2 linked regions of the Drosophila melanogaster genome follow. The protein of the gene in region 1 interacts with the protein of each later gene in a pairwise test. Each region holds a gene or a part of one and is shown on either strand. Other genes may lie near its edges. The genes, in order: CG5674 and Traf-like.

Region 1 (5,208 bases):
CGGCATGAGTGCAAACTGATTAATCACATTTGGTGGGCTTACATTTATGGCAGATGTGGGGACATATTCGTGTGTATGTACCAGGAAATGGGCGGCAAACACATGCAGATGTCACATTAGCCTTATACTTTAATTAATTTCTAATCCCAGCTCATTGAAGGCGGCTGCAATTAGATGGCGACGCCGTTGCTTGTAGGCTGGCAAGGATTACAAGGATGTGGCCGCTTGGCCCCGACATTTGTCAAACACTAAACACTGAAGAAGCCAAAGGAGGATATCAATTTGTGCATTTGAGTGTAAAGTACGGATTCGCCTGCCCATCAACTGCAAATTAGACATTCAAAATTTAATCGGCAATGCAAGTTTTTGGGGATTTTGGGGCGGGCACATAATTAAGCTGCAACTTTGTGGGGATTATTCAATGCGAATTGGAATCAACCAAAACCACAAGCTTTTAACATTAAATGCGATGAACTATTTGGTTAAGTTGGTAATCCAGCATTGCGGCGGGTGAAATAGTTTAAGGGCCTCATTAATGTGGTTGCGGCTTGGGAATATTTTGGAAATTGATCTTTATGTAGCCTAAATGCATAAGAAGGAGGTCTTTAAACTGTTCTTCCTTGTAGCTAATTGGATTTGAAGTTCGGAGCGGAGTTTATGTATCTTTTGATATACACATTCACTTTATATCCTTACTCAATTACCTTTTCAGCCTTATCGCGCTGCCTAATTCCTTAATCCGCAACTAAATTTCCATTTGAAGCGTAATAAATTATTTATTCTCAATAGCCGACAGCACAACAAGTTGGGAAAGGCGTACAACAAAATCTGAGAAGTCTGCATAGCTAAATTTGCAAAATGTGTTAACAAACTGCCACGCCCACCGATACGAGGCACTGTGATTTGTGCGGAGGGCAATTTATATGCCACAGAAGCCGGCTGCCACGCCCCCTTCTCGGTACCGGGAGGCACTTTACACTCAAATTGTGTTAATTTGCATATTGGAAACTTTTGCCTAATTGAACATAATGCCACTTAATTAAAGTTAAGACAAGTTTTTGACGGTAAAATGGTTTTGGGCCTGGGGGATGTCGGGGATGTCTTGGCAACTAAAAGTATGCCCGACATTTATGGCAGTTTGTTGTTGAAATTTACGGCAATTAGTTTAATATGAGCAGATTATGAGGGACACAGGACGCAATAAAATCCCTTCGGCGGTGGCAAATTAATTTTTAGGGGCATCCCCGAATAAACACAGACACTGAGACATATGGAAATCAATTAGCTCTTCAGAGTCTAAGTCCTCGCCTTAAATGTTTAATGGCCCATTTTTATGTTTGCCTTTGGCTGCCTAATTGTTAGTTGTTTAAATATTTACTTAGAATTAGTTGGGACCCAAATGACAGCGTGTCAAGGGTAGGAAACTAATGTTAAAAGAGTTTCGTTTGGTTTTTATTTAATATTTGCGAAGGTGAATTGCTATTCAAGTGTCAGTCCAACACATTCTTCGCTTCTCTACATATATATTTGAAATATATTGGTATAAAATAATATTGAGTGGTGTTTAATAATCTTCGACTATTAGCGCTGTTCCGGCCAAGAGAATTTGTTCCGCAGTTCCGGTCACAATATCAACATTTAGGTGGCAAATCAATTTGTCGCGACTGCTCCGAGAATATAATGGGAGTTTGGGCTTCGATTCAGCATTTTGCGTGGAATATAGCGAATTTTTGCCGTATTTTGAGGAACTAGTAGTCGTATGACTGACATTTTGTACTTCGTCTTTTATTTTGTACTTGATGTAGAAGGGGTTCGATTTTCCCATTCCACTCTGGGCGCCATCAATCTGTAATGGAAAATGAATAGTGCCAAGTTTAGTTACTAATGAAATACTTAGATATATTCCACATTACATATATTCACAATTGCTAAAAACAAAAAAAAAGGCGAAAAGCGGGTAGATGATTTGCAAAGTTTATTCTCCAAGTCCTAAAATGTATATACAAAAAAATAGTTATTTGTTTTTTTACAGTGTTAGTTCTAGCAGGTACACCCATCAGGGCATAGCGGATGCACTCCCCATAGTCAGCTTCCAAACCGATTATCGATTGGCATCGAATACGTAGATATACAAACGAGAAGGGAAAGTAAAATGTAAGTTTGTGCTCAGAACTGCTTATCGATAGGCATCGGACAAGGTGCCATCTCTAATTCCCCCTCTTGTACCGGAATGTCAATCAAATGAAAACAAAAAAAGCGGCGTGAGAAAACTGAAAAGAACGGGCATCCAGTGCACATTTCAAGCTTAATTTCGATGCATTGAACGGCGGCGGCGCACCGAAAACAGGAGGCGCAGGATTACGGATACGGAAGCTATGGAAACGGCCAGAATGGAGACGGCGATGGAGACACATTTTATGGCCAAAATGGGGAAGGTGAGGAACAAAGACAAGAAGCAAACGGGCAAGAGGGAGAGAAGATGTCATCAGTCTTCGTCCCAAAAGATAAATAAGTATCTTTTGGGATTTTGGATTGGGGGAATCAATTTGGACTATGGATGTATGCATATCTACTATCCAGGTAATCCGTAACAGAGTATTGTTACTGTTACTACTACTACGTGTGCATCCAATTGTATCTGATATAGCAACCTGGCAAAATGTATCCCAAAATTATTTCTCAATGTTTATTGTATTTACTGTAACGCTTCTCGAGGGCTTATGATATTTAATGGTTATCCCCAACTTAACCAATGCGCCATCTACCGCGAATATTATAGTTATGGCAATTTCTTGGCTGATTATCCTGCGATTAGTTAAATTTCCTTTTATGGCTTCGAAATATATTCTTAGTCGCTAAAGAAGAAGACATAGAAGACATAACCCCTTGAATCATGAGTAAGTGGCTTGCTGAATTTGATTTCACAACTTGATGTCAAAACATTATCGGTTAAAGATACTAATTCTTACTCACCTTTAGCGGCGCCAGCTTGAGTATTATGTCCGAAGAATCACTTTCCAAGTTTGAGGAGCCGCAAGTTTGCAACTCCAGGCGTTCGGTGGAAACTGCCAGTTTTCGAGACTGCAGCAGCTTTAAACAGGACAACAGGTTCTCACAGTTAAACACCTGGACGAAATTGATATCCTCTACAAAATCCAGATGCATTTGCTCCCGGAATCGAAGTTCGGCAGCCTGGGCTCGAACGATTAGGGCTCTTAAAAAGTCCACGGCACTGTTGCTGCCAGGTCCAGGCCATAGTTTAAGCCAACTGGCAGGAATCTATGAATTTCAGTTTATTATGCATTTTCAAGTTACGTTACTGTACCCCAGTTTCTTACCTGCTGTTCTGCCAGAGTTCTCAGAGTGCTGCCATCCACCTCCTGCGACTCCTTAAGCCAGGCATGCATCTGCGACAAAGTCTGGTGAACTATGCCGTAGAGATCCGCCCCTAGTTTCAGTTCAGCCAGCACAAAAAGTGCCCAGGGAGATTCACCCACATCAGTTTTTGCCTCCTTCATAGTCTGGATTATGGTACACGAAGCCGCCAACTTTCTCCATAGATTCAGTAGGGGTTTAATTTGCTGTTCCAGCTTCTGACGACCAGTGAGCTGATCGTTTCCCTTAGACTCTCCTGCTCCTCCAGAATCCTTAGCCAAGCCTCTTCCGTAATGCAATCCCCTGAGTTCCTTTATCACTCTTTTGGCCTGTTCAATTTCGCGTTGCTGTTGTGCCTGATTGGCCAAACCATACATACTGGGCTCATCTGTGTCAGGAAGTTTCTCCAATGCAGCGTAGTAGTCCTGCAGTTGACCGCTAGTTGGTATGGATAGAGATAATCCAAGAGGTGACCAACGATTGCTTAAGACGTCCGCTGAACAAAACTGGTTCAGATAGGTTGTGAGTATCTCCAGATCCCTCTGATTATTTACTCTTCCGCCATAAGCGAGGGCTTCACTGAGACGTTGCATCAGCAACCAATCGCATTTTCCTGAATTAAGTTGCTGATCCATCATTCTTAGGATACCCAGAGCCGCTTTTAGATCTGCCTCACCGAATTCATAGTATTTTGACCAACCTTGTGGTATAAACTGTCGCCTTTGTTGAAGCACAGCTGTTAGGACAAAATAAACCAGTCTCATCTTGAGGCTCTTTGGTTGGTTTTTAAGCTTTTGATCCTGTTCAGCAGCGAAGTTCTGGAGCAAACGCATCACAATCTGCTTTAGTCCCTTAGGCTGCTCATAACGTACTTTAAGGCATTTATAAATGGCAGCTTCGGAAAATCCCTCGGTTGATTCGCACAATAGCCACAATCGAAAGTCTTTCGATTTTTGAATTTCACTTAATTCCCTTTCCATTTGAGTTAGAAATTCCGGCACCAAATGGACATTCTTAACGCATAACCAGTGGCCATCTATGGCAGCCTGACGCATTTCGGAGAGAACTCTTTTCTCAACACCTTTTCCAATAGCCATTTCTCTATACTTTTGATTGGCCCACTTTCTCAATTCAGTTGTTGGATCATTTTCCGCATGACTAACCATCAAAATCGGGCGATCACAGCTGCTCTGCTGCAGCAACTGCTCCACAGAAGGTTGGGTGGAGGCATCTGGGGAAATTCCCAGCAGATCGCTACTCACTTTTCGCAGTTGGTGAAGCATCAAGTCGGGTCGGAAAATCTGAGCAATAAGCACACGCTGGAAGCTGGACCCCAACGCAGCTGTAAGTTCGAAAATAAATCTGAATAAGATGAAATTAACTAAATTATTTCTACAACTTACGTAGCACATCATCCGCTTGAGCCTCAATGAATCCGCGCCAGATATAGTCCTTCTCCAACTGGAGCTTGCTTCGCAAATCTGGGAACAATTGGAGTAACATAGCCAGCTTTAATTGCGCTTCCTTGGGCATGCAGTCGGGCAGTTTTCCAAGCTGACTTAGCACCATACTGCCATCAGAACTACCCATGAAATTGTTCACAAACAGCTCCCACTCCTTGGGGTTTAATCTATCGGGATATGCCTGATGACAAACCCACAAGGATAAGGATAGCTGGCTATCTCTAGAAGTAGCTCTAGCTAAATTCATATAAACACTTCGTACAAGACAATCATAGACCTTGGACTCATCTCGTTGACTTTTGGAAAGAGCCCCCAAAAATAGTTCAATGTAAACAAGAGGGGATAATTCATAGCCCTGGATGAGGCCTGC
Region 2 (4,940 bases), on another chromosome or scaffold:
CTACAAGAACATCGTCTTTATGGGCATCATGTTCCTGTTCCAGTTTCACACGCTGTTCTCCTCATCCTCCGTCTACGATTCGCTATTCCTTACCTTGTACAATGTGATATACACCTCGCTGCCCATTTTGTTCATAGCTATCTCCGAGAAGCCATACACCGAGGAGAAGTTGATGAGGTAACAGTGGGTTCAATCGTTTATATGTATAATGTTGATGTTACTAAAAATGCAACTTGAACAGAACGCCACAGCTTTACAAGAAGAACACGGACAACAAGCAGCTCCACTGGCCGTACTTCCTGATGTGGGTCCTATTTGCGATCTACCACAGTGTCATCATATTCTACTTCGCCTTCTGCTTCTTCTACTACAACAACGTTCTCCTGAACTACGGACAGACGGTGGCCTTCTCCTGCTTCGGCACCCTCCTCATGTGGACGGTGGTGGTGGTCGTGAACCTTAAGCTCTGGCTCGAGTCAATGTATCTGTCCTTTTGGTATATATTCACCATTATCATTTCCATTTTGGGCTTTGTAGTCACAACGGTTATCTACAACGTTATCAATCTGTGAGTTCATGGCTACGAATGTATCCATTTAAGGTTTAAACTAATATGTATATGTATTATTTGCAGGGACTACGACACCGACATCTACTGGGCCTACAACAATCTGTTGGCCTCACTGCCAGTCTGGCTGTGGATCATAGTGACCTGTGTGGCCTGCCTGGTACCCGACTATACCATCCGAATGCTCCAGAGGGCGCTCAACATAAAGAGTTTCAGCATTTTTCCCGGAAAACAACGGAAACTTAAGATGCGCGAGAAGTTTGAGTCCACATACTTGTAATCGTCGATTAGGCTATAGTTTTTATACCCCTAATTTATTTATTTCCTCATGTATACAATTTTTTTTTTTTTTGTTAGATAAACAAATTTTTGTTAAACGTTTGAACAATAGATTTGATTTCTGACCACCACCTTAGAGGTAGGAAAGTATCTCAACTTCCCAAATGGAGAACCTTGAAATCGTATGCTAACACTCGCAATCAACTGGGAAGTACGACATTTTAGGCTGATAACATTTTTATCATAATCTCGGCGACTTATTGAGAGCAAGTGCAACTACACTTGGAAAAATGGTTCGTTTACGAAAATGCTGGGTTTCAATACAGCTACACGATACAAACATCTAATTAATAAAGGATTTATTTAATATTTTTCCTACATCGGATATTGTTTAAAAATATATACGAAAGTATATAGCCCGTTTTTATCACAGTTTAGCCGTTGCCCCACTTTTGATACCATAAAGTAGGGCGGCGAGTCAGTAAATGTACTTCAATCCCGATCCACATATGTGTACGTAGGGCACCTGTTGGTTCGGCCATACCCACTGCCACGCCCACGATCACTGCCGCCCACCACATTGTTATCTAGTTGATGGCGTCGTTACCATTTGCATTGCCGAGGCAATGGACAAAGTTTTGATTGTGAAGCCCGTTTTTCATTGATAATGTTATCTCCACTCGCATTCCGAATATGTTTGTACAAGGGGAGCTAGAGATATGAACATTTTGCAGGTACATATGTGGCCATATAGTCGCTGGAAGATCTGGTGACGGTTACGATTTTAGTGGATTCTCGGTGGCTGTGTTTTCCTGGTCGTAGTTCGCCAAGTTAGTGGTCAATACGATTCGTTGGTTGCTCTCGCATTTCGAAATAGTGGTAATCGCACCAAATGGCAGTGCTATCAGTTCGAGGTTGTCGTATAGATTCCCATGGACGCCCTAATGCTAACACATGTGCAAAGCTATATCTAAACCATGTCTGTGTGCGCCGCGTATGACTATGCCCAAGGAAATTCTTAATCATTTTTGGCTGAGTTTAGTGTGCATAGGGCGGTGCTCGCAGCGCCAGAGAATTTGCTGATCCAAAGTTTCAATCGAATTTGCTTTCCTTTAATCAATATAATGTCACTGACCAAGTCGTCGTCGAGAAAGGATCTAACCGAGCAGAATCAGTATCAGAATCAGAATGAGAATCAGAATCAGCCCAAATCGACGACCATAGTCAAGTATGAGAAGTCGTCGTGCCTCTTCTGCAACGAATGGTTCGATGCCCAGACATTCACGGTTATAATCGTCCAACTTTTCAGTTCACCTTTGATTACTATTACATTACTCCTCTTTGGATGCGACTGCAGGAACACCTGATCCACTGCGGCCAGGTGCTGGAGGAGTGTCCCAACGGCTGTCAGGCCTTCATTCCACGCATCCGTATGCGATCCCATCTGAAGGAGTGTCCACGCAACCAGCACAATCTGAGCAATCAGCAACGCATGAGTGTCAGCATGGATCGCCTGGATAGGCAGTCGGATCAGCGTCTCCTGGTCATTGAACAGGACGTGGGCACCATTCGGTCCGTTCTCAACGAGGAGATACGACAGCGTTTGCATCTCATTACCGATGTGGGCAACATACGGAAGCAGAACCAGGTCGTCGAGGACTGGACCCGCGAAACCGAGAAGGCAATGGACGATCTGCGTCGCCAGATGGAGGAGGAAACCAATCGGAAGGCATTCGCCATCGAACAGAACCAGCTGGATGTCCAGTACTGCTGTGATATCACACAGGTTAGTTAATGCTACTTTATTTAAATATATATATACTATCTATCTTTAATGTGCATATCTCCGTCGAAGTCCTTGAAAGAGCAAGTGGAGTCCAGGCTGGATGAGGCCCAAAAGCTGGTCAATCAGCTCTCGGCGGACGTGACCTATCACCAGAATCAGCTAAACGACAATATCCTAAAGCTGGAGGAGCTGATCTTTGAGAACGAGCGGCTCAACAGGGAGAAGTTCTTTCAGATCGAGGAGTTTCTGCAGCAGATCAATGAGGACATCAAAACAAAGCTGGGCAACAGTGACTATGTGACGTCAAAGCAGGCCACATTGGACTATGAGGTGAAGAATGTGAAGAACATTGTGTGCGAAACGGAGGAACGTTGCGATAAATTGGATCGAGCACTTCACCAGACCATGCAGAATATATCGGATTTGGAGACCCAAATGGCCATGCAGCAGCGGATTGCCAGTGTCCAGAATATAAGGGGTACATATTGTTGGTTCAATATAGTAATTTAAATATATAATATCTGGTCGTACAGGACACTTGATTTGGCGCATCAAGGATTACTCGAAAAAACTGGAAGAGTCCAAGCAGTACGACACCATCCTCCATAGCGCCATGTTCTCCAATAAAGCCTTTGGCTATGCTCTACGGGTGAGTTGAGGTTGGATCTTGGTTGGATATGCCATTTATATATGTATACCCCATTACTAGCTGGATATATACTTGAATGGCAAGGGCACCTGGAAGGGCAGGAACATGATCGCCTGCTTGAACGTTCTATCCGGAGAGTACGATCCCCTTCTGGCCTGGCCATGCCGCCTTCAGGCCGAGATCATCATCCGGGATCAGTGCACGAATGTGGCAGATGCCGAGGATTATGTGAAGACCATCTTTGTGCGCAAGAAGAGCGATGATTTTATCCAAAGCAACCAGTACTTCCATATACCACACAAGGTAATCACCAGTCGCAACTATCTTCGCAACGATTCCATGTTCATCGAGGTTCGAGTTCTAAAATAAAACCCATGCAGCATCGCTATCCCACCCACCAGGAGCGATAAGAAAAAAAAAATCCAATTGCGGATTGTCACATACATAAAACATAATTTATTCCATTGAGAGCGAACTGGAAGTTAAAAACCCGCTTACAAACACGAGTATGTGTACATATATAGTGTATAAGTGCATACGAATCGATTCATCGTTTCAATATGCGTATATTGTAGTTTTAAATGTCATTGCAGTTTTAAATGCTTTTTTTCAAATTAGGCAATAGTCACATTGAGGCACTGTCGAGACGAAGTCGGTAGTTAGAAAGCATAGCTTTTATTGCAACATTTCCCTGGTCACTTTGTCAAGATATAAGCAACTCTTTCATTTTTTGGTTTTTCATTTCGAGCAAATTAACAAGCGATTTTTGAGAGGAACTTCCATATTATTTGTCTTTACGAACGCATTTAAATACAAAGGTCTTTTAATAAAATACAACTTCAACACTTGTCAACTGTCGGTTCCCATGTTCATTTCTTTGAAAGAGGTATCAAATGTCTGATCCCGTTCAGGTATTATTTGTGTGCACTTATAGTCTACGTTGTGGATCATAATTGTCTGGCTTCGTTGGCGTGTTCTTGTATGTTGTATGCATTTAAATGAACGAATACATAGAAGAGATAATACATATTCGAATAATTGATTTCACGTCGGATTTGGTTTGAATAATACATATATATGTATATGCGGAGATTCTTAAGAGGAGCGCTGTTCACCCACCAGGGCATAAAGGGCGTGCTTGTAGTGGCCCGAAGTATCGCCCTGCAAGTAGGATTTTATATGATTATAGAATATAGATATAGATAGATATATATATCTTACCTTGATCCAGCTCTTGAGGGACTTGCCGTACAGACGTTCGAACGCTACCTTAATGTCCGTCATATCAATCTGAAAAACGTTGCAACATTTTAGGGTTGAATGATATTATATATAGATGTACTTACCTCGCTGCGCGTGATGATCACACGGATCAACTGGGTGTCATTGGTGCCAATTCCGGCCATCGCCTTGTGCAGGCGCGAAGCGAAGTATTCGGCCTTGTTGGTGACGCACCTGTAGATGGCAATCAGGCCCTCCATCACATCGCCGGAGAACTCCTTCTTGATCGCCTTCTCCAGCGAGTGGCCAGTCATGCCCTCGTACTCTTGGAATATCTGCGGTTAGGTATGATTATGTTGGAGTTTCAATTGTACACACAAGTACTCAAGTATCAAGCAGCATACCAGTTTCAATTGCTGATAGTTCCTCTGGCAGAG

Evidence for each region.
Region 2: the proteins of CG5674 (region 1) and Traf-like interact in a two-hybrid assay, tested with the Drosophila melanogaster proteins (2 studies listed by BioGRID).

The regions. Positions count from the first base shown.
Region 1 is NT_033779.5:17,961,171-17,966,378, forward strand, and holds the start of CG5674 (uncharacterized protein), read left to right. Parts: upstream 1-2,208; 5' UTR 2,209-2,375; coding exon 2,376-2,435; intron 2,436-2,973; coding exon of another isoform or gene 2,974-3,279; intron 3,280-3,338; coding exon of another isoform or gene 3,339-4,717; intron 4,718-4,778; coding exon of another isoform or gene 4,779-5,208. Other genes in the region: btv (beethoven), read right to left, coding at 1,565-1,846, 2,974-3,279, 3,339-4,717, 4,779-5,208.
Region 2 is NC_004354.4:16,413,453-16,418,392, forward strand, and holds Traf-like (TNF-receptor-associated factor-like), read left to right. Parts: upstream 1-1,593; 5' UTR 1,594-1,971; coding exon 1,972-2,133; coding exon of another isoform or gene 2,134-2,204; coding exon 2,205-2,633; intron 2,634-2,702; coding exon 2,703-3,111; intron 3,112-3,166; coding exon 3,167-3,282; intron 3,283-3,342; coding exon 3,343-3,651; 3' UTR 3,652-4,133; downstream 4,134-4,940. Other genes in the region: CG4301 (uncharacterized protein), read left to right, coding at 1-177, 242-568, 635-848; AnxB11 (annexin B11), read right to left, coding at 4,378-4,443, 4,504-4,572, 4,629-4,838, 4,908-4,940.